Pelodiscus sinensis: one gene and its partners. The protein of the gene in region 4 purifies or fractionates together with the protein of the main gene of each other region. This does not show direct contact. Links are inferred from orthologs where the notes say so. Each region holds a gene or a part of one and is shown on either strand. Other genes may lie near its edges.

What was found.
Region 1: the proteins of SNX9 (region 4) and DNM3 purify together in Homo sapiens (co-immunoprecipitation; 3 studies listed by BioGRID and IntAct, counting the BioPlex papers as one, with this or other methods). This does not show direct contact. The link is inferred for Pelodiscus sinensis from reciprocal best matches to the Homo sapiens genes SNX9 and DNM3.
Region 2: the proteins of SNX9 (region 4) and SYNJ1 purify together in Homo sapiens (co-immunoprecipitation; 3 studies listed by BioGRID and IntAct, counting the BioPlex papers as one, with this or other methods). This does not show direct contact. The link is inferred for Pelodiscus sinensis from reciprocal best matches to the Homo sapiens genes SNX9 and SYNJ1.
Region 3: the proteins of SNX9 (region 4) and DNM1 purify together in Homo sapiens (co-immunoprecipitation; 6 studies listed by BioGRID and IntAct, counting the BioPlex papers as one, with this or other methods). This does not show direct contact. The link is inferred for Pelodiscus sinensis from reciprocal best matches to the Homo sapiens genes SNX9 and DNM1.

Annotation. Positions count from the first base shown.
Region 1 is NC_134719.1:64,104,221-64,112,109, reverse strand, and holds the start of DNM3 (dynamin-3), read right to left. Parts: upstream 3,011-7,889; 5' UTR 2,962-3,010; coding exon 2,816-2,961; intron 1-2,815. UniProt on the Homo sapiens protein: Microtubule-associated force-producing protein involved in producing microtubule bundles and able to bind and hydrolyze GTP. Most probably involved in vesicular trafficking processes, in particular endocytosis.
Region 2 is NC_134711.1:182,895,588-182,902,949, forward strand, and holds the start of SYNJ1 (synaptojanin-1), read right to left. Parts: upstream 3,019-7,362; 5' UTR 2,968-3,018; coding exon 2,873-2,967; intron 2,823-2,872; exon of another isoform or gene 2,358-2,822; intron 1,475-2,357; coding exon 1,329-1,474; intron 1-1,328. UniProt on the Homo sapiens protein: Phosphatase that acts on various phosphoinositides, including phosphatidylinositol 4-phosphate, phosphatidylinositol (4,5)-bisphosphate and phosphatidylinositol (3,4,5)-trisphosphate. Has a role in clathrin-mediated endocytosis.
Region 3 is NC_134732.1:11,330,148-11,337,511, forward strand, and holds the start of DNM1 (dynamin-1), read right to left. Parts: upstream 3,011-7,364; 5' UTR 2,745-3,010; coding exon 2,584-2,744; intron 1-2,583. UniProt on the Homo sapiens protein: Catalyzes the hydrolysis of GTP and utilizes this energy to mediate vesicle scission and participates in many forms of endocytosis, such as clathrin-mediated endocytosis or synaptic vesicle endocytosis as well as rapid endocytosis (RE).
Region 4 is NC_134713.1:112,089,934-112,097,427, forward strand, and holds the start of SNX9 (sorting nexin-9), read left to right. Parts: upstream 1-4,493; 5' UTR 4,494-4,661; coding exon 4,662-4,673; intron 4,674-5,293; exon of another isoform or gene 5,294-5,308; coding exon of another isoform or gene 5,309-5,317; intron 5,318-7,494. UniProt on the Homo sapiens protein: Involved in endocytosis and intracellular vesicle trafficking, both during interphase and at the end of mitosis. Required for efficient progress through mitosis and cytokinesis. Required for normal formation of the cleavage furrow at the end of mitosis.

The DNA of each region.
Region 1 (7,889 bases), on a different chromosome or scaffold from region 4:
GCTGGCGGGGGGGTGTCAGGGAGGGGATGAGGGAGACTAGAGGTCTGAGGGGACCCAAGAGGAGCCGAGGGAAGGCTGGCGGGGGGGTGTCAGGGAGGGGATGGGGGAGACTAGAGGTCTGAGGGGACCCAAGAGGAGCCGAGGGAAGGCTGGCGGGGGGGTGTCAGGGAGGGGATGAGGGAGACTAGAGGTCTGAGGGGACCCAAGAGGAGCCGAGGGAAGGCTGGCGGGGGGGTGTCAGGGAGCGGATGAGGGAGACTAGAGGTCTGAGGGGACCCAAGAGGAGCCGAGGGAAGGCTGGCGGGGGGTGTCAGGGAGCGGATGAGGGAGACTAGAGGTCTGAGGGGACCCAAGAGGAGCCGAGGGAAGGCTGGCGGGGGGGGGGGGTGTCAGGGAGCGGATGAGGGAGACTAGAGGTCTGAGGGGACCCAAGAGGAGCCGAGGGAAGGCTGGCGGGGGGTGTCAGGGAGGGGATGGGGGAGACTAGAGGTCTGAGGGGACCCAAGAGGAGCCGAGGGAAGGCTGGCGGGGGGTGTCAGGGAGCGGATGAGGGAGACTAGAGGTCTGAGGGGACCCAAGAGGAGCCGAGGGAAGGCTGGCGGGGGGGTGTCAGGGAGGGGATGGGGGAGGCTAGAGGTCTGAGGGGACCCAAGAGGAGCCGAGGGAAGGCTGGCGGGGGGTGTCAGGGAGCGGATGAGGGAGACTAGAGGTCTGAGGGGACCCAAGAGGAGCCGAGGGAAGGCTGGCGGGGGGTGTCAGGGAGCGGATGAGGGAGACTAGAGGTCTGAGGGGACCCAAGAGGAGCCGAGGGAAGGCTGGCGGGGGGGGAGGGGTGTCAGGGAGGGGATGGGGGAGACTAGAGGTCTGAGGGGACCCAAGAGGAGCCGAGGGAAGGCTGGCGGGGGGGTGTCAGGGAGCGGATGAGGGAGACTAGAGGTCTGAGGGGACCCAAGAGGAGCCGAGGGAAGGCTGGCGGGGGGTGTCAGGGAGCGGATGAGGGAGACTAGAGGTCTGAGGGGACCCAAGAGGAGCCGAGGGAAGGCTGGCGGGGGGGGAGGGGTGTCAGGGAGGGGATGGGGGAGACTAGAGGTCTGAGGGGACCCAAGAGGAGCCGAGGGAAGGCTGGCGGGGGGGTGTCAGGGAGGGGATGGGGGAGACTAGAGGTCTGAGGGGACCCAAGAGGAGCCGAGGGAAGGCTGGCGGGGGGGTGTCAGGGAGGGGATGGGGGAGACTAGAGGTCTGAGGGGACCCAAGAGGAGCCGAGGGAAGGCTGGCGGGGGGTGTCAGGGAGGGGATGGGGGAGACTAGAGGTCTGAGGGGACCCAAGAGGAGCCGAGGGAAGGCTGGCGGGGGGTGTCAGGGAGCGGATGAGGGAGACTAGAGGTCTGAGGGGACCCAAGAGGAGCCGAGGGAAGGCTGGCGGGGGGGTGTCAGGGAGCGGATGAGGGAGACTAGAGGTCTGAGGGGACCCAAGAGGAGCCGAGGGAAGGCTGGCGGGGGGGGGGGGTGTCAGGGAGGGGATGGGGGAGACTAGAGGTCTGAGGGGACCCAAGAGGAGCCGAGGGAAGGCTGGCGGGGGGGTGTCAGGGAGGGGATGGGGGAGACTAGAGGTCTGAGGGGACCCAAGAGCGGCTGAGGGAAGGCTGGCGGGGGGGTGTCAGGGAGGGGATGGGGGAGGCTAGAGGTCTGAGGGGACCCAAGAGGAGCCGAGGGAAGGCTGGCGGGGGGGTGTCAGGGAGCGGATGAGGGAGACTAGAGGTCTGAGGGGACCCAAGAGGAGCCGAGGGAAGGCTGGCGGGGGGGTGTCAGGGAGGGGATGAGGGAGACTAGAGGTCTGAGGGGACCCAAGAGGAGCCGAGGGAAGGCTGGCGGGGGGGTGTCAGGGAGGGTGGGGGGAAGGTTGGGGGGGGTGTCAGGGAGGGTGGGGGGAAGGTTTGGGGGGGTGTCAGGGAGGGTGGGGGAGGCTAGAGGCTGGCGGGGGGGGTGTCAGGGAGGGGGGGGAGGCTAGAGGCTGGCGGGGGGGGTGTCAGGGAGGGTGGGGGGAAGGTTGGGGGGGTGTCAGGGAGGGTGGGGGGAAGGTTTGGGGGGGTGTCAGGGAGGGTGGGGGGAAGGTTGGGGGGGGTGTCAGGGAGGGTGGGGGAGGCTAGAGGCTGGCGGGGGGGGTGTCAGGGAGGGTGGGGGGAAGGTTGGGGGGGTGTCAGGGAGGGTGGGGGAGGCTAGAGGCTGGCGGGGGGGGTGTCAGGGAGGGTGGGGGAGGCTAGAGGCTGGCGGGGGGGGTGTCAGGGAGGGTGGGGGAGGCTAGAGGCTGGCGGGGGGGGTGTCAGGGAGGGTGGGGGGTGTCAGGGAGGGTGGGGGGAAGGTTGGGGGGGGTGTCAGGGAGGGTGGGGGAGGCTAGAGGCTGGCGGGGGGGGTGTCAGGGAGGGTGGGGGGAAGGTTGGGGGGGGTGTCAGGGAGGGTGGGGGAGGCTAGAGGCTGGCGGGGGGGGTGTCAGGGAGGGTGGGGGAGGCTAGAGGCTGGCGGGGGGGGTGTCAGGGAGGGTGGGGGGAAGGTTTGGGGGGTGTCAGGGAGGGTGGGGGGAAGGTTGGGGGGGGTGTCAGGGAGGGGGGGAGGCTAGAGGCTGGCGGGGGGGGTGTCAGGGAGGGGTGGGGGAGGCTAGAGGCTGGCGGGGGCAGAGGCGCGGTCGGTGGGGGGGCTAGTGGCCGCGGGGGGGCAGATCCTGCGCAGGTTCCGCGGGTGACAGAGGGCACCGCTTGGGGGGCGCTGGGGGGCAGGTGGCGGGGGCGGGGCCGTAGGGGGTCCCGGGGGCGGGGCTCACCGGGAGACGCAGGTCTCCAGCACGGAGCTCTTGCCGGCGCTCTGCCCGCCCACCACGGCGATCTGCGGCAGCCCCAGCAGGCAGCTCTGGCCCAGCGCGGCGAAGGCGTCCTGCAGCCGGTTCACCAGCCCGATGAGCCCCTCCATCCCGCCGTGACAGGGACCGGCCGGCCGCGCCTGCGCACTGCCGCCGCCGGGCCCCGCCCCTCGTGCCGCCGGGTCCCGCCCCTTGTGCCGCCGGGCCCCGCCCCTCGTGCCGCCGGGCCCCGCCCCCCTGTGCCGCCGGGCCCCGCCCCCGCACGCTGGCTGGGGAGCCAGTGCCCGCGGGGCTCCGCCTGGGGACAGTGGGGTGCTGCGGGGAACCCCAGCCAGGAGCCCCCCGGGGGCGCAGGGCGCTGGACACCCAGCCCGGGGGTCAGCGGGGGCCCGGGCAGGGAGGGGCGCAGGGCGCTGTACACCCAGCCCGGGGGTCAGCGGGGGCCCGGGCAGGGAGGGGCGCAGGGGGCTGTACACCCAGCCCGGGGGTCAGCGGGGGGCCCGGGCAGGGAGGGGCGCAGGGGGCTGTACACCCAGCCCGGGGGTCAGCGGGGGCCCGGGCAGGGAGGGGCGCAGGGCGCTGTACACCCAGCCCGGGGGTCAGCGGGGGCCCGGGCAGGGAGGGGCGCAGGGGGCTGTACACCCAGCCCCGGGGGTCAGCGGGGGCCCGGGCAGGGAGGGGCGCAGGGCGCTGTACACCCAGCCCGGGGGTCAGCGGGGGCCCGGGCAGGGAGGGGCGCAGGGCGCTGGACACCCAGCCCGGGGGTCAGCGGGGGCCCGGGCAGGGAGGGGCGCAGGGGGCTGTACACCCAGCCCGGGGGTCAGCGGGGGCCCGGGCAGGGAGGGGCGCAGGGCGCTGGACACCCAGCCCGGGGGTCAGCGGGGGCCCGGGCAGGGAGGGGCGCAGGGCGCTGTACACCCAGCCCGGGGGTCAGCGGGGGCCCGGGCAGGGAGGGGCGCAGGGGGCTGTACACCCAGCCCGGGGGTCAGCGGGGGCCCGGGCAGGGAGGGGCGCAGGGGGCTGTACACCCAGCCCGGGGGTCAGCGGGGGGCCCGGGCAGGGAGGGGCGCAGGGCGCTGTACACCCAGCCCGGGGGGTCAGCGGGGGCCCGGGCAGGGAGGGGTGCAGGGCGCTGTACACCCAGCCCGGGGGTCAGCGGGGGCCCGGGCAGGGAGGGGCGCAGGGGGCTGTACACCCAGCCCGGGGGTCAGCGGGGGCCCGGGCAGGGAGGGGCGCAGGGCGCTGTACACCCAGCCCGGGGGTCAGCGGGGGGCCCGGGCAGGGAGGGGCGCAGGGGGCTGTACACCCAGCCCCGGGGGTCAGCGGGGGCCCGGGCAGGGAGGGGCGCAGGGGGCTGTACACCCAGCCCGGGGGTCAGCGGGGGCCCGGGCAGGGAGGGGCGCAGGGCGCTGGACACCCAGCCCCGGGGGTCAGCGGGGGCCCGGGCAGGGAGGGGCGCAGGGCGCTGGACACCCAGCCCCGGGGGTCAGCGGGGGGCCCGGGCAGGGAGGGGCGCAGGGGGCTGGACACCCAGCCCCGGGGGTCAGCGGGGGCCCGGGCAGGGAGGGGCGCAGGGGGCTGGACACCCAGCCCGGGGGTCAGCGGGGGCCCGGGCAGGGAGGGGCGCAGGGCGCTGGACACCCAGCCCGGGGGTCAGCGGGGGTCCCGGGCAGGGAGGGGCGCAGGGCGCTGGACACCCAGCCCCGGGGGTCAGCGGGGGCCCGGGCAGGGAGGGGCGCAGGGCGCTGTACACCCAGCCCCGGGGGTCAGCGGGGGCCCGGGCAGGGAGGGGTGCAGGGCGCTGTACACCCAGCCCCGGGGGTCAGCGGGGGCCCGGGCAGGGAGGGGCGCAGGGGGCTGTACACCCAGCCCGGGGGTCAGCGGGGGCCCGGGCAGGGAGGGGCGCAGGGCGCTGTACACCCAGCCCCGGGGGTCAGCGGGGGCCCGGGCAGGGAGGGGCGTAGGGGGCTGTACACCCAGCCCCGGGGGTCAGCGGGGGCCCGGGCAGGGAGGGGCGCAGGGGGCTGTACACCCAGCCCCGGGGGTCAGCGGGGACCCGGGCAGGGAGGGGCGCAGGGGGCTGTACACCCAGCCCCGGGGGTCAGCGGGGGCCCGGGCAGGGAGGGGCGCAGGGGGCTGCACACCCAGCCCGGGGGTCAGCGGGGGCCCGGGCAGGGAGGGGCGCAGGGCGCTGCACACCCAGCCCGGGGGTCAGCGGGGGCCCGGGCAGGGAGGGGCGCAGGGCGCTGTACACCCAGCCCGGGGGTCAGCGGGGGCCCGGGCAGGGAGGGGCGCAGGGCGCTGTACACCCAGCCCGGGGGTCAGCGGGGGCCCGGGCAGGGAGGGGCGCAGGGCGCTGTACACCCAGCCCGGGGGTCAGCGGGGGCCCGGGCAGGGAGGGGCGCAGGGGGCTGTACACCCAGCCCCCGGGGTCAGCGGGGGCCCGGGCAGGGAGGGGCGCAGGGCGCTGTACACCCAGCCCCGGGGGTCAGCGGGGGCCCGGGCCGGGAGGGGCGCAGGGCGCTGCACACCCAGCCCGGGGGTCAGCGGGGGCCCGGGCCGGGAGGGGTGCAGGGCGCTGTACACCCAGCCGGGGGGGCGCAGCTGGCACAGAGGGGCACAGGCGTTACGCCCCGTAGCGAGGGGGATCAGGGCCAGCAGCAGCCTCTCCCCTGAGACCATCCCCCTCCCCGGCCCTGAACTGGGGGAATGGGGGAGGCCCCCCTAGGACCGTGCTGGGCTCCTGCCGGCCCAGCGCATCGCTTGTGTGAAAGCAGCAGGCTGGGAAAGTGGCAAGTGGCATCCGCAGGGAAACGTGCCAGGCTCTCGCTTCCATCCGGCAGCTGCGGTGTGCAGCTGTTGGCATTCAGCTGCCCCCGGCACTTGGCAGGGGCGAGCGCTGGGCAGCCAGTGTGTGAAGGGAGGAAGGTGGGAATCAGACAGGTGGGAAACACTCATCTCATGGGAGAAGTCCTGCAAAACTCCTGCGCCCCAAAGCGGGATGGACCCAGGCTGAGCGCCAGGTTTTGCACAGGAGACCAGGCCGAAGGGGCCAGCAGTACCGCCTTACGCACACAGACCGCTACATACAATTTTGGGAGCTCGGCCCACTCCCAAACATGAGGGGGGAAAGCCTGCAGCACTCGGACCCCCGCCTGCAGGGTCAATTGGACTATCACACCCCTCCCCAAGAGCAGCCGCAATCCAATATGAGAGCGTAATGCAGCCCTATGCTAATGTGACCTCATCGTAAGTCCAAGCAAGGGGAGCAATGATAGAAAGAGCATGACCGAAAAGGACAGTGATGCAGGGACAGGAACCTACAATTCAACTCAGAAAAAGATTCAACTCAACACCAGGCAACAGCTCGGAAAGACCCCCAGGAGAACAAGGCGGCCACAGACATGCCAGCTCCAGTGGATGCAACAGACTTCCGAGGAAGGTGGTTTTCTATCCCCACCTGGCTGGGGTAGCAGGACTGCAGGGCCAACCCCTGCTCCTATTTAATGAGGGATCTTTAAGGAAGCCTGAACTGCTCCATGCCGGAGAGCCCAGAGCCAGCATTCCTCTAGGAGCCGGAAGCGGCCACATGGGAAAGCCCCCGGCGCGTGCCCACCGCCAGCCCAGCTGCGTGGCCGCCCTTGGTGTTCCTCTGAGCGGCAGAGGCTTGTGCACAGTCAATGAGTCGTCGCAGCCCAGGACTGCCTAGAGGAGTCCCTCGGGGGCCGATGTGTACAAAGAACTTCCCTCTGCTGCTGCCCACAGCCCAGCCCCCGAGGCACCAGTCAGGCTCCAGACTGCACCCGCTGCACCTGGGCAGCATGGAGGTGGAAGCCTGGAGTCAACGAGGCAATGGCAGCGTGTAAGCCCACCCTTCCCACACGTGGGGAGTTCAACCGGGGGAAGGGGGAAGGGTGTGTGCACATCCACAAGCCAAGCCGGGAAATGCACTAGAGCCAGGACGTGTCCATGTCTGGGAGCCGGACCAGCCGCCCCCCTTCCTGCGGCACTCAGAGTCAGCGCAGGGGGCTCTGTGTTATACTGGGGCTCATTTTGGCCCCTGGTGGTCTTAGAGTCAGAGGACTGGAATGTGGGCTGACAGCTGCCATGCCCCCCGCTCCTCAGCTGCCCCAACGACCTGGCTCCACTGGTCGCAGGGGCCCAGGCCCCCCGGGGCAGCTCCACCCATGGCGGGGGCAGGACAGATTTACAACAGCTCTGGTGCCGGTCCATATACGTTTCTAAGGCCCAGACCGAACAGCTGGGTTCAGACAATCACCCAGACCAGCACCGTGCTGGGGCACTGGTCTGAACAGGAGACACTACGCCTCCATCCCGGAGTAATAGAGCCCTGAACGGGGCGGATTTCTACAGCTGCTCAGGCCCCGCCAACAAGCCCTCAGGGCGGCTCGTGGGACTTCACGAGGGACCAGCAGTGCAGGACCGGCACGTTTCAGGCGGGGGCAAGGGAGGAGTTGAAAGTCTCTCTTGCAGACCAGGCAGCTGAGCTTTCTAGCTTGAGAAAGGCGATGGGCCCAGCCCCTAGAGAACACAGCACTACCTCAAGGCTTCCGGAGGGCAGGCCGGTGCTGGCTGGGAGCATTTTTAAAGACCTCAGACCTTCCCCAGATGCTTTTGTACAGCGGCAATGAACAGCACCACACAGGACCCAGTTCTACTGCCCTCACAGAGGCGTGCGCGCCAGAGTACCTCAGCTTTTCCTCTGCTCCCACCCACTCATCTAGGGCCCCAAAACAGGGGGAGCTGGGGTGGAACAGGGGGTGCTGAGTACTAAGGGCAGGCAGGGCGAGTGACAAGGCTGCACACGGTGAGTCAGGTAGACCCAGAGCCTGGAGGCAGATGGGGGGGTCAGACAGGCCCAGGCAGCCCCCTGTGGTAAGTAGGCCTTCCCGCCTTTTCCCAGCCTAGCAGCTTTGGCCCCCTTGGCCCACCCCTCATGCCGGCCAGGTCCCCTCCCCCTCCTCACGCAGGGCCCGGATTCCTCAATTCCACCTCGGCCGGGGGCAACAGACATTTA
Region 2 (7,362 bases), on a different chromosome or scaffold from region 4:
CTACAAATATTGGCTTTAGCCCTGGCATAGTAGACAAGAAGCTTCCATACTGAACTGGTGAACAGGCAGCTACATCAGACCATGTGAATCACCATAGGAACTCTAAAATCAACACCTCCTCTCATGGCTTTCTATTTCTCCAGTAGTTATCTGACTCTCCAGTAGTTATCCACTGAGATTTAGGGCAGCATCAGAACTTAAATTCACCAAAAAATATCCAGAACTTCCCATCCTGCAGGTTATGAACAACATACCCCAACAATGCCTGGAATCATGAAAAACTTGTGGCCACCTCATGTCTCTGGATCCTGACTGGGAACAGCAAAGCATCTGGACCCCACGTACTATTTCAAACAAGCATAGTATTACTGACCGGATAACGTGCACACAGACTTTTGAGCACGTTGAACTGCATCTGAACTAGGGAAGTAGAGATGTAGAAGTGTATCTGGCTAGACAATAAGTAAATGCTACTCAGTTAACGCTACTGGTTACAAGCAACACCCCACATTTATTTTGGGAGCCAGAGCATGGTCAGTCTGGCTCCATACCGACTCACAATTTTTGTCAACTACACGATTACCAAATTACACACTTCCTAACATCCCTAATCTGAACAAACCACAGAAGATACAACTGCTTGATGCACAAGTGGAAAAAATCAAAGACTCACCTTCATGCAAAAGTATTGATAACATCCAAACTATTGAATACATCATAATTCAGTGCCCCAAACATAGATTCAAAAGTGAATTGGATGATATTCACACCACCACAGAAAAGGCATTGAAATGGCTTAGAGACCTACAACAGCTTCTACCAAATGTTGCTCTGCAGATTCCAAACAAGCGTGAGAGATGAAATGATTCTAAAAACCATCTGTGAATATTTTCATGTCAAGTTACACTGATCATTTTATATAGACTTTACTGAATCTTTATAAAAATGACTGCTATGTAAAAATACCTTTCTTCAAAAATTTTGTTCTTATTAGTAATATAAGATGGACTGCATATATGCATGTTTTTTATTTTTAACAGACCTTGGGAATGGAAATGGACGTTATTATAGATTATTGCTTTGTCTTGCTACTTTCTATAATATAGAAAATAGCAAGACAAAGCAATAATACATACAAAACTGAGGTTAAGAAATGAAAACTATCATAATAGAACAGACTGAACAGTTACTGTAAGAACTGAGAAATGACAGATTAAGGGATATAATAAGTCATTTTCATAATCTGTGAATGTATTAAAAATGAAAATATGTTTGACATGGAAATGCATTTATCAACTTTTCACATTCTACTTAACATATTGACTTACAGAGGACAGCCACAACTCCAGACTCAAACATGAGGCACTCTTCCTTATTTCTGGTTTCCACTATCACACTGAATGGAGGTGGATCCAATTTGTGATAGACACGATATCCTTTGCTGAAAGCCATTTTTCCTTTACCAGAGGCAGACCTGTGCAATACAAGACCATGCCAGTGAAAACTTCCTCTACCTCCAGGGTTCTCACTGCAAAGTAGCACCAACTTCCACCCTGACTCAGTTATTTTAAGAGTATTTAATAGGGGAGGAGACAAGAAGAGTGAAGACATGAAAGGCCATGAGGAAGACAGAATTTATAGAAGGGCTGAATGATTTAAGTTCAGTTTACTCAGAAAAACAGACTCAAGGGATATTTATAGATAAGCATTATCATGAGTTGTTTTTTAGAAAATAAGCAACTTTAAGAAGAGCTTACTTGCAAATTCATTAACAAATCCATTTGTTTTAACAGCTTATTATTTCTTTGATGAGAGGGAGTTATTGACTTAAACAGTGAGCACAAAGAGTGATAACAACCTAATGATGAAAGTAGGTGACTGGGAGTTAAGACAGGTTCCATTTTTTACTCAATTAGTGAGTATGACCAAAGGGCCACTGTCAGAGAGTTTAAGCTCCGAACCTGTTTATTTTTACAAAGCCTAATAGTGATAGAAATGTTTTGGTACCTTGGTGGTTTTAATGGATCTGGGAGTTTTGTTGTTGCGTTTGGTTTGGATTCAAACCCTTCCCTGCATTATCTATTACAACACCGGGCTAGAGAAATTGACTAGAAATTGGAAGGTGAGATTGCTAAAACAGAGCAATTTTTTTTGCCTTTTGCATATTTTCCCTTTTGTTTTTGTAGTTTTTAATTATTTAAATTAACCCAGTGATTCTGAGATCACTGATTTTAGCCAGTCTAAGATGTTATTAGTAGCAAGGGTAGGGCCTTTTAAAATCAGAATAGTTACCCTCTATCCTAGCAGTATCCCCAGAGCCTCTCCATTTCTCAGTTCCCTTGAGGTCCGATATTTACCTGTCTCATCCCAGGAGGCCGGCGGGCACAGAGCGCTCTGCCAAATGCTCTGATGGAGCAGCGGCAGAAGCCCAGGCTCGGCTTATTCCTGTTCGAGGGGGGCAGAGGCGCCGCAGAGGAGCGGCGGGGGCGGGACACGAGCGAGGTCATCCCGGGCCGGGGCTCCCGGGGAGAATGCCCGCGGGCTGCGTGCGGAGATCTGCTCGCGCCACGGGGCAGGGAGGGACCTAGAGCCTCCCCCACGGCAGAGCCAGCCCAGCCCGAGACCCGGGAGACAGGGCAGCCCTGCCCCGCCCCAGGGACGGACGGACCCGAGCACTCCCGCACCAGACAGACGGGCCGTGTGGGTGTCACTGAGACTCAAGGGGCCTCCATCTTGTGCCGCTGCGAAGCCGCTTCCCTCAGCCCCGCGCGGGGACGGTGGCACCTGGGCTGCGCCGCGCAGCCTCCCCCCCGCCCCGCGCCGCAGCGCCCCCGCCCCGCGCAGGCCCCGGTCAGCACCGCCCGGCCCCTACCGGCTTGGCCGCCGCCACCTCCAGGGGCGCCTCCTGCTGCTGCCGGCTACAGCGGCTGCCTCACTTCCGCTCTGGCCCGACCATCTCTTCCGCATTGCGCCGCCCGGGGCCGGAAGTTGGGGGGGGGGGAAAGGGGGCGGAAGGTGGGAACAGCTGAGCGGCGCGCGAGGCAGTGACATGGGGCTGTCACATAGATACGTGGCTCACGAGCCCCCAACTCTGCGCGGAGGGGAAGCTTCTTAACACTCGGCGCGCGCCTGGCGGGAGCTGCGCGGGGAGGGGGGGGGGGGGTGTAAGTAACCGTGCCAGGAACGCGCCCCAGGGAGGTCAGGGCTGCAGGGCCCGGGAAACCCCCTGACCAAGGGGAGCCTCCTGCAGTGTTGACAAGCTCTCCTCAGTTTTAACGTCTCAGGCTCTGAGGAGAATTTGCTTTCCTCCAAAAAGTTTTCTAGCCCCTGCGGTTTCTAAGAAAAGCTTGCAGGGTAACTCTGGTTGTCAGTCCTCCAGGAATTTAAAAAAAAAAAAAAACTTTCTTCATGTCACCTCCAGGAATATCTACAGCCTACTTTGGCAACTCTAATGAAACAGCTGTACCCTATACTCTTTGAGCCTAGAAGGCAAAGAGGAAGCACCCCAACTTTATTTGTAAAGATCTCGTGGTGTTTTAGTCACTTATGGTTACCGAAGATTGCGTTTGCCAACACTTTGTCACAGTTATTCTTAGTAAAAGTCATGTACAACATATGGACAATAAATAAAAATGTATGAAAGTTCGTGTGACCTTTCCTTGAGATTGTGACAAAATGGGGAATGAGGGGTATACTGCACTCACTGCTGTTGCAGTTACAAGGGGTCCCCCACCACAGCACATGCTAGTTGGGAACTACAGGTGACCCCTGGGGCGAGAGCTCCAACCTCACCATACAGGGGCTGAAGAGGAAATTGTCACAGAGGTCCCTGGAAGTCACGGATTTCATGCCATAATTTTAAGCTTACTTATGGGGGGTGAAAATTTGTCATACACTCCCTTGCAGGGCCTGATTCAAAGAATGCTGAAATCAAGAGAAACACTGATTTATGGGGGCTTTTAATCAGTCCCCAAGCAGGTTTACAATATCCTTTAAGACCTGCCTTTCTCAGGGTCAATCAGTGGTGAGATATGCAGTTAGGGAAAGTTGTCATCCACTTTATTTTAAAAATTATAGGCATAAATACAAGTCTGTTGTGTCCTCTTCCAATCATTTATCACTGGTCTCAAGCCCTGCTCCTGCAAATATTTACATTAGTATCTTTACATGTAGTTAAGCTCAATGGTGTGTGCTTAAGTGTGTGCAGGCTCAGGGTCCCTTATTTGTGAACTCTTGAGCTCAGGGACCATGTTTACATCTCATGTGTTTGGACCTCTAGTGAGATAAATGGTATACAATCTTGGCTGAGGCATCTCTCCTATGGAAATACATCATCAAATAAGAATAAAAATGGGAAGTGTCTCATTGGATTTCACAGGGCCTTTACCAGACCTGAATCCAGCAAAGACCTAAGCACACATTTGTAAGCAGCTTCAGAGGGGTAGCCGAATTAGTCTGTACAGTATAAACTTAAAAACAACCAATTGTCTGATAGCACTTTAAAGACTAACAAAACATGTAGATGGTATCATGAGCTTTCATGGGCCCACTTCTTCAGATGACGGGAGTGTTGGATGTCCAGAACCAAAGATAAATAGGGAAGGGGAGGGGAAAGAGGCACTGGATAAATATCAAAGGGAAAGCCAAGCTAGTATGTAACAGGCAAAACTGAGAGTCTGTGAGTACCTAAAGACTGGATAGTTAAAAGGAGATAAGAGCCATTAGTTAGCAATTAGAAAGGAAGAGTACTAACACCAGATTCTACACAGACAAAGCACCATTGGAACCTTCATTGTTTGTTTGGTTGATAATATCCCAGCCATCCGGTATCTCAATTCAGACCATTGGCATGAGAATTAAACTTGTGAAGTGAATTAATTGTAGTTCCAACCCTTCCCTGTGTATTTGGCTTCTGGAATTGGTCTGTAACAAAACAGCAACTTGAAGATCTCTTAATGAGTGACCAGGCAGATTGAAGTGTTCACCAACAGGTTTCTGTATGTTTCATTTACTGATATCTGATTTGTGTCCATTGATTCTTTCCCATACGGACTGTCCAGTTTGTCCAGTATATATTGCAGTGGGGCTTTCCTGGCATAGATAACATTACTGGATGTACAGTTAAACAGGCCTCTGATTTGGTGGCATATGTGGTTGGCTCCAGTGATGAATTCACTTGTATAGATATGTGGGCAGAGTTGGCACCAGGGTTGATTGCACAGCTGAATTCCTGGATGCTTATGATATAGCTGTGTAGCACGGTTACCGGAAAGAATTTGTTTGGGAGGTTCTCTGTGAGTGAGATAGGCCTTTCCCCCAAGGTCTCAGAGCGAGGGATCATTTTCCAAGATAGGTTGTAGACCTGCCAAAGGTCCTGCCTGCTCTGCTCTGGCAGCAGCCTTTTGGGTGACCTGTTCCTTGGTCCAAGGAGCTGCTTTGGCAGGTGAGGCCGAGGGCATGGCAACTCATGCTGGGTACGGAGGAAGGACCCGGCCAGGTGTGGCCCCTGTTGAAAATGCAGCAAAGGAGCCAGGGGAATGCCATACCACAGGTCTCCCCAAGAAAGTGTCTCTGGCATGCGCCGGTGGCCCAGGCCCAGGTGCACTCCCTCAGCCTGCCACAAGCTGGTCTTGGCCATACTGCACCCCCAGACCTTTGGGGACAGCTTGGTTACACTGCATCCCAGTTATTTTCTCAGCTCTTTGGAGCAGCTGCTCTGTACTCTGGGCTCCCTGGGCAAAGCACAAGTGCAGCTTGACAAACTCTCTCACCGCCCTGTTTCCCCCACCCCCATGAGGTTGAAGCATCAGCACTGGCTTCCTGAGAGGGAAGTGGAAGGAGAGAAAACCCTGAGGCTCCCCGCTGTGTGAACAGCAGTATAAGGATGCACTTCAAGGAGGCTTTTCCTGCTGCTCAGCAGGGAATTGAGTGAGGGGGTCACTGGTGCAAGGTCTCTGTGGAGGTGGTGAGTGACAGGGCTTGGGGGGGTCAGGGGTCTCAGATGGGGGAGGGGAGCAAATCATTTTTGTCCATTATGAATATAGTACAGAAATGTAATCAGTGAAACAGTCAACTGAAAGCCTGCATTTTTATTCTTTAAAGTGTTCACTAGTGAGCTGCTCCCGTGTTCACTATATTCACTCACCCCCCTCTCTGTCCACTTCTGCATGAGAACTTGATGACGTTCAGAGAGCGGGGGAGTGTGATGTCATTCTGTTGCCTAGCAGGAAATTGTTTCTTATATATGTACTGAAGGGTATGCATGGAGAGGCATGCTGTGGCTCACCACCCTAGCAACAGCCTGGGGGAGGCTAAGGGGGGGGGGGGGTGAGCTCGGCATGTGGAGTGGAGAGGTGCAGGCATGTGACAAACAAAGCCATATATGGAAAGGTTGAATCTGATTGGTTAAGAAGTTTGTGTTATGTAACCTGTAACCATGTGCTATAAAACAGCAAGGGGAGGGGCTCCTTGCTCGAGGGGCTCTGGCTGATTTTAGTACCAGGGGCTCTCCCTTTGTGCACATTGAATAAAGTATTGAATTGAATTGAATCGAATTGAATTGAATTGAATTGAATTGAAGACCCTTGATTCTGCCCAGCACCTGAGTCTCTGGGAACCGCAAAATCCCAACAGTTTCTTGGCGCAGCGAGCAGGGTGAGAAATATCCTTCAGGATCAAGACCTACAATCAAGTTAGAGGGTGATTTTGTTCATTTTTCATTTGGTTGTGTGTCCCTGACCTGACTGGTGACTCTCACACCTTTTGTAGTAAGTGAAACTGGGTGTTGGAGAATTTAAGGGGTTTGTTGCAGTTTTGTAACATTTTGGTTGCAGTCTTAAGACACTGTACTTAGTGTGGGGGCAGGTTAAGCTGTAAGTTCCTCTGACTAAGTGTTGTTGAAGTGGGAAATCAAAGAGGCCATAAGGACCAACAGTTAATGTAGGGGCAGGTATAGCCATAAGTACCTCTAGTTAATGTGTTGGCTGGCCCAGATCTCCTAATTGGAAATTATTAGTTTGTAAACAGTATTGTATTTAAAGATTTTGAGATTGGAGGATATTTAGGTTTAAAAAAAAGGGAAAGATGAAGGGATTTAGTGATCCACAATATGAAGAGTGTTTAATTAGTGCTTTTATCACTATTGTAGCAGTAAGTTTCTTAGTTTTCTTGTTGAGATATCTTGGCTGTGTGACTGAAAGAAAGAAGGATGACCAACCCCCATTACAAGTGGGCAATACTGATTTTGTGCATAAACCACAATATTTATCAAAGGACAAATTGGCTGGCATGTGTTTAATTGTTGATTATGAACAGCTGGTTAGAAAGTGCAATATGCTAAAAGGAAGGATAGGAGAGTTAGAA
Region 3 (7,364 bases), on a different chromosome or scaffold from region 4:
GGATGTAGTGAGGTCATGAGCCCTACTGAGACAAAGGTCACTGGCAAATTATGGATAATATAATTCAGTTCATTCACCCTCCGTCAAGCCGCTAAGCTCAAGCTCTGCATTGGAATCAGTGAAGTTACAATTTGTCCCCTTCTGCTTGCTCTATCTAAAAGAAAGGAGCTATTTGCTCTGAAACAGCTCTTGCTCAATGAACACACTTGGTACATCCTTGCTGTAGTCACCATATAGAACTTCCACAAAAGATAGATTTGGGGGGACCATGACAGCAACAAACTCAACGGGCTAACCAAGGTTTTGCTCAGTAACAGTTCTGGGAACCCTTTTTCTCTTCCCAGCAGGTTTGATCACAGTGGGTTGTAAGCTTTTGAGGGCAGAAACTATCTTTTTGTTCTGGTATTTGTGCAGCACTTACCACTATGGGGTCCTGCTCCACGATGGGAGCTCCTAAGTATTGTGGTAATACAAATAAACCATAATTATAGCGGAGGCTTCTGGACAGCCTTCCCACATCCTGATTCCCAGGTACACTAATTCAGAATGGAATCTCTGAAATAGACCATTGAAAATCAGCAGAGAAGAATCTCAGGCTCTTTTGAGTATGTGACAATGGGAGATTTTATTTAAACAACTCTGATTCCTGCTATGTTTTCTTGTTCCTCAAAAACAGCAGCAGTGGCATCTTCCTAATGCCATACTGAGTCTCATTGCTCAGGGTCACCTGAGCCCCTGTACAGCATACTGGACTTACTCTGTTCAAATACCACAAAAACTGGAGCTATTTGGGCTCATGACAGACTCTTTCAATGATAATAGAGCTATAAAATAGCAGATGTCATAGTGCAGGGGCTAGTAGGGGCGAAAGAGAAGGAGAGTGCCCATGCAATAAAGCAGGGGAAGAAGAGGGAGAATGCAGTTGGTGGAAGAAAGTAATTCCTCCCAGGGAAATCAGCACTAACCTGTATCTTGGTCATAAAGGATAGCAGTGCCTAATAGGGAAGGATTATAGCAAGCCAGGGCCACAATAGCTTAAGCAAGCTACAAACAAGCTCAGGATACACTCCAGGTGTTGTGTATACTATGTGTGTGCAGACCACCTTCCCTGATCATCTGGTATTTGTTGAAACTGCTGGTGATTAATGTGAAGGTCACATGAAGGGAAAGCACCAGAATATCACGGTCACAAAATGGTAGCACCCAGGGAGTTGAACACGTAGGGGAATAACCATTGCTTTTTCTGCTTCTCCCCCCAGCTCCTGACATGGCAGCCACTATGGAGGACAGAGAAAGGGGTGGGGGAAAATGAAATTGAACTTAAAGTCCACTGCTGCACAGCCTCACAACAAGCACATCCATCTTTAGGTAGCTGCGTGTGGTTCAAGGCATGTCCTATATCTAGCCAGGTATAATCAGGAGCTGAGGACATGCTATGTGAATCCAATCTTCCTAGCATTTTCTTGTGGGATTCTTCAGGGTGAAACTTAAAGCAAACAAGAAATCTAGTCTTGATGGAGCTAGTCCTCAGATCACCATGGCTAAAGGGCATCTTGGTATTAACAGGTTTTTATACAATTATTTATCTGCACACACAATATTCACTGATTAGTATTTTTTTAAATCACCTTAGATAATACATTGCCAAAAAAGATGTGGAACCTGTATCATTTTTGGTTCTGGCTCGCAGGTCTTTGACGTGATAAAAATAAAGGACACACAAGAGTGTGGCTATTTTCCCCCTGACATTTCTGTCCGTGACATTACATAACATATGGAGCACTAGTCTGTGCTTTACTGGATTTCCATGATTTTTTTATATGCAGCCATTTATGTTATTCGTTTTCCCCTTGAAGCAGTGCCTTCCTCCCCACCCTGCCAGTGCCCACAGCAATTGTCCTCCAACAGCGGGGGGGGGGATGGGGGGGGGGGAGAATTCCACCATCCTGGCTTCTTGCTCATCCCCAGGATTCTGCCTTCTTGTATGTAGCTCCCAAAAATAAATAAATAAACGATTTAGGATTAAAACCATTAAATCCCCTGGGATGTGGGCAGCACATCAGCTCTGTTCCTTCCTACTCCCTCTCCACCCCCAAACAAATGGCTTCTTCTGTGCATTAGTCACTCCAAAAGCAGGATTTGCCTGATGCTGCATTCTTCCCTCAACCTCTTTCACACTCACTCTCCACCTCACCCCTCCCAGCCCACCAAGCAATATGCTGCCCGCCATTGATCAATTCCCAATTAGATATTACCATTTCAAAGCAGACATTTATACAAACACACACATGCACTTCTATGCTGAGGGGAAGAGGGCTCTCTTGCTAGTGAAGGTGACAATCCAGGGAATGTCACTGTTCACAGAGACGCCTGATATCTGCATTGTAGGGTGCAGTGTGTGTGTGTGTGTGTAGCAGGGGCTAGGATGACGGTTCTCCCAAGAACCTCAAGTTGAAGAGGGCAAGATCGGCCCCCCTCCTCTGTCCTGTATTGCACTGCATTAAGCATTGCATGGCATGTCCGTTGAGCAATGCATTGCTCCCATAACCTCCCCTATAATCGGCTGCATTTTAAAAATCTTACCTGCCCACAAAATTTTCCAGCACTGAGCTCTTCCCGGCGCTCTGTCCGCCCACCACGGCTATCTGGGGCAGGTCCAGGTCTGCATTCTGACCGATAGCCGCGAAGGCATCCTGGAGCCTGTTGACCAGGGGGATGAGGTCTTCCATCCCTCGATTCCCCATGTCTGCAGCTCTGCTGGGCTCTCGCTGCTGGGCTTGCAATGCAGACGCCTCTCTCCGCCCGCTTCCCTGGCAAAGGATTTACTGCTGGGCTTTGGCCCCCCAAGTCCTCATCAGGGGTTGTCCCCAGCCCTCAGCTGGGCGGTGCGTTTGTTTCCCCTTCACTCCGCCTAACCTAGGTCCCTGGTCTCTGCAGCAGGGCTGCCACCCCGACTGCCAGCTCAAGCACCGCTAGCCACCCGGCTCCTCACGGGATTTAAAGCGCACGTAGCATCAGCGACCGCTAGGGGGTGTTACGTGCCCTACTGTGCTCCGAGAGCTTCATGGGAGTTGTAGTTCGTATAGGTAAACGTAAAGGTGTTGAGAAGGGAGCTACGCTGGGAGCCAGGCGTCTTGAGAGTATCCGCCTTCAATAGCCTGGGATCTGTTCCTATACAGGGACATTAAGAACAAGGGAGTCTGCCGGGGTCTGATGGAAACACGGCAAAAATCCTCCATCGTAAAAGGGGTTCAAAATTGGTATTCAAATCAATCCTCCAAAATGTGAAACCTGGAGGATCTGAATATTTATTGATATATTTGTAATGAAAAAGCCAGAAATATTTCACTCCTCCCAAACAACAGACTCCCCCCCATACACACACAAATCTGTGCTTTCAATATTCAAGAGAAACTGCAATTAATAGCTAAATGGTTTTTAAATTACATCTTTGTAAATAATCTCTGTTCTTGTAAATGGACGTACCTAGCTTACTAATAATTAAAGTAGAAGGGGTTTTTTTAATTTTACTTTTAATTTACTTTTAATTGTTTCTGCAGTTTAATTTCTGCTGTTTTGTTCCCAGTCCGTTTCAATTTCTGGTTATAATGCCCTAGACATTGTTGCTGTTTGATTTACAAAAAATGCAAGGAAATGTTTAATCATATGTGTTTCCACTGTTTCTTTTAACAGTCTGAGACAATAAAGAGGAACTAATTGGCTCAGTTTGCAAAATAATGTTTTTACAAAAATAACATTTACAGCCATAATTAAACTGAAAGTGTTGTTGGAAAAACAAAAATATTCCTTACAGGTAAGTAATTTCACTCTGGTCATGTTGTTTGCAGTCCAAGTCCGCCCCACCCCCACAATCTTGATAAGAGGTTTGCTGTAATCAGCAATTCTAAAATGTACATAAAATTGAATGTATTTGATGGCCGCTATTAACATTTTTTGCAAGGAGTAGCACCATCAAACTATTTGAATATTGGATTTTATCCTCATCTGTCAGTTTAACATTATAAAAAGAGGCATTTCCTTCTGAGTGAGTCTGTGTTCCAGAAATCATCACTTTGATCATTCTGTTCCACGGGAGATATGAAATTAAATTAACACATTTGTGTTTCCCTTAGAAAAGGCTTGCAAAAGAACGCTGAAAGTGCACTGTGGCAACAACTGACATTCATGTCTTAAAAATCTGACTAATATATAACCAGAGGGATGGAGAAGAGCCAGAGATGCAACAACAGGATTTCTCGTGAGTTCTCACTCAGCTATCTTACTTTCATATTTATGTTTCATAAAATTAGAATTTAAATTACCGATAACCTTTGGCTCTCAAGCTACACACAACTTTGGAAGATACCACAGGCCTGATGTGAGTTCTTTATACTCTGCCTTATTTCAGGAAGAGCTCTTATACTGTAGACTGACCAATGATGGTGTGTATGTCAGCTGTTTGTAGTTATTCAAATTAGAACAGTGGTTTTCAAACTTTTTTTCTCATGGCTCAGTTGAAGAAAATCACTTGAGCCTGCAACCAGAGTGTAAGGAAGTATGCCTCGGTGCACCACTGCAGTAAGCACTGACTGCACTCTGGCAAGAGCCGGCTGGGGCACTCAGCTCATGTAGAGGGACCAACTGAAGGCGCGCTGTAAGGGATGTGTGCGTACTCTCAACTGGGTTAGTGAGAGGGGCTAGTGGTGGGGGCTCCAACCTCCATCTAACCTCTGTAGTCTGTCCCCAGCCATTGTGCTCCTGGGGCAGACCTCACAGCTTAGCTCTGGCAGCCCAGCGACTGCTGCAGGAGCTCAGCCCCTGTGGCCGAGTTCAGGTTCCTACTAGGGATGTTAAATATTGGTGAATTGAATAGTTGAGTAACCTCATGAATTCTTATCAGTTAGTCCACTGTTGTATAGTCCCTGGGGGCAAGGCTAGCAGCCAGTACTCTCCAGCCTCACTCCCGAGAAGACCCCTGCCACTCTGTGCTACTGCCACTGTATCAGAGAGAGCAGCGTGGGGTGACAGCTGGGAGCTGGTCCATGAGAGAAGCCAGTTTAAAAACTAGCTCCCCTTGTGGACCAGCTACCTGTTGTCCTGTGCTGCTGCCTCTGATAAAGAGGCAGCAGTGTGGGGTGGCAGCAGCCCCTGTCTAGGGAGTGGTCTGAGCTTCTGAACTTGGCGTGAGCCGGAACTGAGCTGGGCTGCCTGCCTACCCAGCTCCTAATACACTTTAAATGCAAAGTTGCAGCGGGGGTAGGTCCCGGACCCATCACAAGCCAGGACTGAGCCGGGCTGCTGGCCAGTCTGCTAAATAATTTACTGGCAAGTGGGGGGGCGGGGGGCACAATGCGTGTAGCTTACAGCATTAACCTATAAGCTTTTGCTTATCTGTTAATCGACTAAATTTTTACATCCCTAGTTCCTGCCCTGGCCGCCTGGCCAACAAGGCCCCAATCAGGGCTCAGCCCCCATCTGGCTGCAACAGCCTGTCTCTGGCCCCCATCCTGAGGCAGGCTTAGTGGTCCAGCTCCCATCTGGCTGCAGGAAGGGCTGGTGGCAACCCCCTGTCCTGCCGTGACCTAACACTCCTGCACCCCCCATACACTCCAAATGTTGTGCCCTGAGTCCCTCATACACCTGAACCCCCTGCTCTGATCTCCTCATGCATTCCAGCTCTGATTCCTGCAGCCCCACATCTCCAGCCCCTTGCCCTAACTCCTGTACCCCTACATACCCTAAACTCCTGCCCTGAGCCCCTCATACACTCCAGCCCCTGCCATAACACTCCTGCACCCCACACACACACTCCAACCCTGTGCCTTGAGCCCCTCATACATCCAAAACCCCTGCTCCAAGCCCCTCATCACTCCAACCCTGTCTCCAGCACCCCCCACATCTCCAGCCTCCTTCCCTATCTCTTGCACCTCTGCCCACCCCAACCTTCTGCCCTGAGCGCCCCCCCCCCCCCGCCCCGGTGCTCCACTGCACACTTAAATTTCTTACAGGTATAGTTGTATCACAACTTTTGCTATAAGCCCCCTCCCTTGGGTTGTGTTAGGACAGTACCTGTAAGAAATGTAAGTTACTTTCCCCCCTGCCTCCAACCTGACATAATTTGACTAGAGTGTGGGCTGTGGAATGGGGCTGAGGATGAGAGCTTTGGGATATAGGAGGGGGCTCCAGCTTTGAGGGGGGACGGTGACAGGGCTGTGGCAGGAGGGGCTTACTTTGAGTTGCTTTCAGTCAGCGGTGCAGCAGGGGTGCTAAGGCAGCTTCCTGCCTGCGCTGGCACTACAGACCATGCTGCACCCCAGAAACAACCAGCAGCAGGTTCCCAGTCAAGAGGAGTGCGGAGCTAATGCTCGGGGCAGGGGCAGTGTGCAGAGTCCTGTGCGCTTTCCCCACCACCACGTAGGAGCCAAGCCTGCTGCTGGCCACTTCTGTGGTGCCAGGACAGGCTGGTAGCCAGCCTTAGCACTTCCACTGGTCACCTGATCCCCCTGCAGCAAGGAGACCCAGTGCCTGACCCAGTACTGGGTCATGAACAGTAGTTTGAAAACCACTAGACTAGAAGTCAGAGGCCCATAAGTGTATGTTTGCCGACTGCCCAATGATGGGTTAATCTGGCCCTGACCAGACCAAACCAAATACAAAGAGGAGACACTATTACAATTTGGCTCCTGCTAATAAACAGCTGATTTTCAGAGGTGTTAAGCACCCACAGCTCCCACTGACTTCAACTGGATGTGAATGTTCAGAACTTCAGGCAATCAGGTTATAAAGTAACCCTACACCAGGTGGTTCATGTTCTTGAGCCTGTGTGTATACAAGAGACGTCTATAAATAGACAAGAATATAAACCCTGAGGAAGGATTGGGGGAACAGGCTAGGTGTTTATCAATATAGGAGAATATATACACTTTTTCAAGTGCTTAGTCAGTGCTACAACACTTTGATCAGATGCTCTGAGTTATTTAAAAAGACGGTGTCTACACTAGGAATCTATTTTGAAATTAGTAAATGCGACTTAATAACTCCTGATTTAACAAATTCAAACTAGTGTGTCCATACTATGGGGAAACCTTGAAATTAGTCCAAACCAGGGTCCGTTAATGTGGACACAGTACCTTAGACTTAGAGCCCCAGGAAGTACTGGGGAGTAATTAGTTTGAATTACTCTGGGGAGTAATTATTTTGAAATGGTGACATTGGAGCGTCCACACTACTGTTATTTCAAAATAACTATTTCAGAATTAACGTTATTCCTGGTGAAAAGCAGGAGTAGAGATTTCAAATTCTGCAGCCTGTTATTTCAAAATAACAAGCTTGGGAGTGTGTACGCTCTGTTTATAAATTCGACC
Region 4 (7,494 bases):
TCGTGGGCAAAGACCCACTTCGTCAGATGCATGTCAGATGAAGTGGGTCTTTGCCCACGAAAGCTTATGCTCCTACACTTCAGTTAGTCTATAAGGTGCCACAGGACTCCTCGTCGCTTTTGCAGATTCAGACTAACACGGCTACCCCTCTGATATAAATATGTGGTATTTTCTAAATAGGATGTAATGTAGATTGTGCTATAATGTCAAGTGTGTCTAGTATTTTTGTTGAAACCATCTGGCAACCCTATCGAGGGGCAATAACAAAACCCAACATAAATTCTATCTTAATAGCTTTTATGCAGAAGAGGAGACTTTTCATTTCTAAAATGCACATTGATACCTCAGTTTGAGGCATGGGGCTTTAGAAATACAAATCAGGTTTTGAGTAGATAAAGCCATATGTATCAAATAGAAAACATGAGCATGATTCAGGAAAGTGCTGAGTACTTTTCCCTTTATCCAGCAAAATATTTAGGCACATGAATAGTCTCATTAAAATCAGTGGGATTACTCATATGTCCACGAAAGCTCATGATACCATCTACATGTTTTGTTAGTCTTTAAGGTGCTATTAGACTATTTGTTGTTTGTTAAGTTTTTCCTGTTACAGACTTACTCGGCTACCCCTCTGAAGCGTTTAAAGCTAAGAACATGGTTAAATCTTTTATGATCAGGATGAGAGTCCTCAGCACTCTTGCTAGGCAGCAAAAAATTTACCAATACAAAAGGTTTTAGAAATCACTTTAGGTGTCTCCTATTGGCAGTTGGTTTGTGCTAAGACTTTTGTGTTAGCTTATAATGAAGGTTTCAGATAGGCAGAGAATTGTGATTTCCCCTGCACATAAAAAAAATCCTATAAGAATGTAGACATGAGCAGCTACCAGGAAGTTCCTCATATAAACATTTCTGTCTACATGGCTATTAGGCTGCAAATAATCATGGGAAGACTCAATTGACACCAATTTCCCAAAATATTCCTTCCCCCTGTGAGAGGGAGGGCAAACCCCAAAGGAAAACCTGATTGCCTGTACACATGTCTAATAAACCTCCTTGTTAAGATCAGCTTGTGGAGGAACATTGTCTAGAGTCAAAGATGAGATTTTAGATGTGTAAAGAGGTCTGGCAAATTATTACTTTGTTTTGTATCTAAGATAATAGATAAATGTTGTTTCAGTAGCTATCGGGGTAGAGAGCAAGATGTTTAGAACAAAGTGGAGAAACACTGAAGTGTTAGGAGGAAAGGTTCCTCCTATGTATGAGAGGTTCATTCTGAAGAACTGTTCTAGAATGAAACAATTAGAACATACACACATCTTAGCACATCTGTCTGGTTTGTCAAAGTAATTTAAAAACAGAATCAAAATGGAGTTTAAATATTTTTCAGATTAATCAGTTCTTATTACTGTAGCACCAACCACAGCATTTTTTGTTGTAAAACAGCTGCTTCTCTGCTCTGCAGCAGCCACATGTGTTCTTTATTGCTGCTGTTCAATATGATACCTAGAAAAAACCCCATATATTTCACTTTATCTACATAAAAGGCGGGGAAAGTTGCAACTTCATTTCCAAGTTAAAAGACTTGTGGGCATGCTGTTTTTCTGTTTTGTTAAAATTGCCTGGCTTAGTGGAAAAAGTTACCCATAGCAAAAGAAGCTTGTAAGCACTTCAGATACAGAAATATGCATGTAAGGTGTTTTGTAGCTTCACAGTATTATACATGATTTTTAGGACTAATAATGCTTGACTCATTGACTATTTGTACATTTACACTACTTTTTAAAAAACTGGATTGAAGCTGAGATGTTGCTACTGGTCAAACCCCAAACAAAATACACCCTCAAATAGCTATCTATGCAAACTAGGCATATAGATAATCTATGCAAAATATGTTTGTATTAAAGCCATTATATTCTGTCCCCCTCAATTTGTTTCACCCTATTGCAGCTTTTCCCTAGCCTATACATTGACTGGAAAAAGAACTGTCTTTTACTGTAACCCTGTAGAGTGAGACAATAAGCTGTCATGTTGACTAGTATTGTCTCTGTTTTCTTGTCCTCCTGCTTCTGTCTGCAGAGCTGTGCCATTCATAGGACGAATTGGGGTGGCCACCTGGGTTCCAGGCTTTTGGGGGCCCTGCAGTGGCCGCTCCAACCATCCTATAGATGGGAAAGACCTGGGATATACAGGGGCTTGGCATGGGGTGACAGCAGGGCTTGCCTGCACTCACCACACAGCAGCAGGAGCCAGAGTACCCCTACAACCTGCTCCACCCTGCTATGCCACCCTCCTGGCCCGCTGCACTCTGCTTCCTGCTGCTGCGGAGAAGTGGGACACAGCAGGCTGGGAGGGTGGCATGGCAGGGCAGAGCAAGCTACTGGGACATTCTAGCTCCCACCACCCATGTGGTGGTGGTGGTGGTGGGGCAACCCCTACTACTGCCGCACCAAGCTCCCCAGGCCACATTGCTCGGAGGAGAAAATAAGGGGGAAAGGAGGTGGAGAAGGGACAGGGCTTAGGGAACGGATAGAAAGGGGGCAGGGTCTGTGATGGGAGGTTGCCCTAGGCTTCACATCTTATGACTAGAGCACTTGGTGGAGGGGGGATAACATCAGGCCCTGCACCCCCCTTGGGAAGGCCCTGTCTTTGGTCTCTTGTCTTGTATGTCTACACTAAGGCTGTGTCTAGACTGCATCCCTTTTCCGTAAAAGGGATGCAAATTAGACATATCGCAATTGCAAATGAAGTGGGGATTTAAATCCCCCCCGCTTCATTAGCATAAAAATGGCTGCCGCTTTTTTCCAGCTCGGAGCTTTGCCGAAATAAAGCACCAGTCTAGACGCGGATCTTTCAGAAAATAAAGCCTTTTCCGAAAGATCCCTCTTAAAATGAGGGATAAGGGATCTTTTGGAAAAGGCTTTATTTTCTGAAAGATCTGCATCCAGACTGGTGCTTTTTTCCGGCAAAGCTCCGAGCCGGAAAAAAGCGGCAGCTATTTTTACGCTAATGAAGCAGGAGGGATTTAAATCCCCGCTTCATTTGCAATTGTGATATGTCTAATTTGCATTCCTTTTACGGAAAAGGGATGCAGTCTAGACACAGCCTAAAAGTATTACAGTGGCACAGCTGAAGGTACACCACTGTAGTATTGTGGGATAGACACTTGCTACAGCGATGGGGATTTTCCATCACAGCACTGCATCAGTTCCTCTTAGAGATGGTAGCTAGGTTGACAGAAGTCTTCCATTGACCTATAGGTACCAGGTCAAATTAACTATGTCCCTCAGGGGTGTGAATTTTTCACACCTAAGCACGTAGACCAGGCCTTAGTCTCTGCCCCAAAGAGCTTACAGCCTATCTTTTTGGTTCTTTATTTGTATAGCATCTAGCACAATGGGGTCCTAGTCTGTAACTGAGATACCTGGAGTATTTCTACACAGGCTGTAGCAGTGAGTCTCCCAAGCGGGGGTCAACAGACTTGGGCATATGCTACCATGTCTAAAAGAGCCATATAGACATTTTGGTTTGGGCTCTGAAGCCTCCTCTTTGGGCTTCAGAGCCGGAGCTGCCACTCCAACATATATACAGCTACTTTTAATATGCTTACATCAGCAGTGGAACCCTAAGTCTGTGAACTGGGATTGGGGGGCTCGCTGCTGTGGGCTATGTAGATGTACCTGATGGCATGAAGTATAAATAAATAATAATATATAGTGTCTAGTACAATAAGCCTGATTGGTCTTTTATGTGTAACTGTAATACTATCAGCTTGCTGAGGCCCAGCTGACACACAGCTTACAAACAAATTACACATCAAAAGACTGAAGTCAAGAGGAAACTTGATGTGATAGTAGATTCATTTCCTAGAGGTCCAGGTTTCTGAAATTACTGTTCCAAGACTGAATGGAGGATACCTACTTTCATAGAAAAAGCAAAAACAAACAAAAAACACCTCATCTGAGAGTAAAATATTTGCATTGGGAAATATTTGGCAATGGGAAGAGTTGCTTAAAAATGCATTCACTTTTGCATTGGTGGTCTCTTTTTGTAGGAGGGTAAATATGTCAGCTGTGTCAAATGAATCTACCAATAGTCCCTGCAGTACATTAAGGGCTGAAGCAAAAATTATGTTAACACTCCCCCCCCTTAAAAACCGAAAATTTTAAGTGACTAGGGCGATTGTACAAACTGCCTAAGATGCAAAGCACCCAAAGAAAATACTGAGGCTTACGGCAAATGAGTGAGGAGAGTTGGGGCAAATCTAAATAGTCAGGATCAAATTCTGCCATTAAATCGGTGTCAATCCGCAGTAACTCCGGCTTTGCACCTCACGTGCCGCCTCTCTGATTCCAATCCTCTGCCCTCGCCCAGCCGAGCAGCGTGCGCCGGGGCACAGGGAGCGTTTGGGGAAGCGAGACGGGCGGAGAGCGGGACGAACAAAGAGGCGAGGGGGCAGAGGAGAGCCGCGAGCGGGGAGGGGCCGGGCCGCTGCCCTGGTGCTACATTAGCTCCTGCCCGGCCGGCGCGGCGCGGTTGTGCCGAGCAGCCCGGCGGCCGGAGGGGGCGGTGGCTTTGTGACTGGGAGTAGCTGCGGCCCAGCAGCGGCGGCGGCGGCTCCGGGCCGGAGAGACGCGCGGCGGGAGCCCCGCGCCAGCAGCACCATGGCCACCAAGGTGAGGGGCCCGGCTCGCTTCGGGCCGCGGGGGGGTGGGGCGAGCGGCGTGGGGCGCCCCCTCTCGAGGGCGAGTCCCAGGGGCCCTACGGGCGAGGGGGGGGCTGGTGCTTCTCTGCGCCCGGCCCTGGCGCCTGTGGGGCGGGGGGCGGCCCCAGGGCGCTGTGGGGGTGCAACCCCCCGAGGGCGGCTCGGGGCAGGGGGAGGGGGGCAGGTCCCGGGGTGGCCTCCCCCCCCCAACCCCCCCGGCGTGTAACCGCCAGGGCCGGGCGCTCCAGGAGACACCCACCCGGGGGGCGTGTGACCGCGCCTGGCGTGGGCCCTGGACCCGCTCCCGGGCCTGCCAGGCGGGAAGAGGCGTTTCCAGCGTCGCAAAGTTTTAACAGAGAAAACTTTTTCTCCGCCCGCTCTTGGCGGCCTGTCACCTGAGCCCGCAGGCGGCGGTAGGGTCCCGCTGCCCCACAGCGAGCGTCTGGCCCGGGCCCCGTGTAACCCACAGAGCGGACGGGACCCCTTCCTGAGGTGCTAACCGCAGCTGCACCTCGTTTAAACACCCCTCTCTGCGCCGAATAAACCACAGCCGCCTAACCTGAAGACTAATACTAGCTGGAAGAGCTGAACCGTGTCTCGCTGTTTATGATGTGGGTGTGTGCATTTTATCCTGTCTGGATAGATTGGTCAGTTTCATTGCGGTGTCTTGTTTGGGGTCTCCTGTTGTGGCCAGTAGTGGCATAGTTTAGGTGGGAATATTTGGGGGAGTGTTTTTAAATTCAAGCACATTTTTCATTGACCTTTCAAAGAAGTGGCGTGGACACCTTTCTCTTCACACTCGGTATTGTAAAACAAAGAAATAAATCTTTGGGGGCCGAAGAACGCCCCACGTATCTCTTTAATTTCACAGTTGTGAAAGGGAAAAAAAAACATGCAAACAAACTTGGGCCTTTACTTTTGAGAGTTGCTGAGTGCCTGCAGCTCCTGTTGACATATGTGGTAGTTGTGACTGTTCAGAGTCCTTGGAAAAAGTCCTCGTGGAACCAATCTCTAGAGATCTGAATGTCATTCAACTTTGCATTCTGTCCTGTATTTTTCTATACTTCCCATTCAGTCAGGAAGGAAAATGACTGTGGTCTTAAGGCCTGGTCTACACCTGAGACCTAGGTTAACCAGCTAAGTTACTCAAGGGTTTTCAAATCCCAAGACCCACAATTAAGGTGACCTAAGCCTTGATTTAGACACCTCCCAGTAGACAGAAGGAACACTGCAGCAGTGCTGTTGCAGCATTTTAAGTGTAAACATAGCTTTAGTATGTGATACAATGACTTGTGTTACAAAAACATCAAACACAAGACTTAGTTGCTCAATGGAACTATGATTCTGTGTATTTGCTTGGCAGCATTGCTTGTTTTTTGTGTATAGTGTAATAGGGTTTATACACCTGATAATGTCCAAATATCGAGGGTATCTTTTCAAGTGAGTTTGATTGCAGTAGGATAAATTCATTTATTCTCTTCTAATGGCTATGGTTGCCAACTTTCCTGATCGGACGAACCGGATGCCATTTGTGGAAATGTTGTCTGGTACGGGAGACTAGGAAACCCTGTAGTGGTGCATTTGTGTGTGTGTTCCACTTTATAAAACAAGAATACCACTAATAAATCGGCCACTTGTAATCTCTAATTGCTCTTATAAAAACTGATATATAAAAAAAGTATCTTCTGAATAATTTTCTGTTTTTTGTAGATTATGTAAAATACTGTTTTCCTTCTGCCATGTTATTTTGTAGCATGTGAATTAGCAATATTTGGAGTTATGTCTGAGTTTTAGTTGTGTATATGGTTTCTAAAATGTATGATGAGATTAGTTTTTGCTGTTTCTGAATATTATTAGAAAATGAATGTAGTAATTGAGCTTTGCATTTCTGGAACCAGTCTAAGTTTCCAACAGTATTTATTTGCTATATTAGTATTTTTTTATTTTAACTTTTTAAAGTTCAAAAGTACCTTTAAAGAAAACAAGTGTTCTACTTATTGTGCCATGTCACAGTATTGGAAACAATGTTTTTGGGACACAGCTGGGTTGCATAAACTAGTTCTGCAACTTAGAAAGTTCATTTGTGTTAGTAGTAGACCATGTTCCTATAAAATAGTGATAATATGATTCTTAATACGTCACAGATTTGTATATTGTACATATCCAATTTAGTGTATTAATAATATTTTATAGTCACAGTACTCTTTAGATAAGAAGCCTAAATCACAAATCAAATAGGTGTTTTTGAAACTTTTATCCTTACACCTAAAATTGGGTTTGATATGTATCAGAGGTTTAGAATGTTGATGGACTGGGCTCAGTGTTAATATTTTTGGTATAGACTAACTTGCGTTAAGTGTGTATATGTGTGCCCATGGACACAAAGGGCACTTCATGTGGTCATTTGTGGGAAAACTGCATTGCTTCTGGCAAATATGTACTTCTGCAATTGGGGTAATCAGTTCAAATCGTGTTCATTTCAATGTGGAATAGGTCCTGCACTGTATTTAAAGAAGGCTATGAAGAGCCATTGTTACTTTTTTCTGGTACAGAATTAACTTAATTGTATAAATGTAGAGAGTTGTGCTCTCGTTTTTTTTTTTTAAATAGCTCCCTGATTTAAACTTCTTCAGAAACAGAAGACCGATCATGTTGTCCCTAATTTAACTAATGTTGTGGGCAGAAGAGCAGCAATTATTTTTCATTCTTCTTTTATTAATTTTTAGGCACAATTTTTGTATTGCTTTTTTATTTTAACTTTCAGTATTTACAAATTGAAAAGTGGGCTTTTT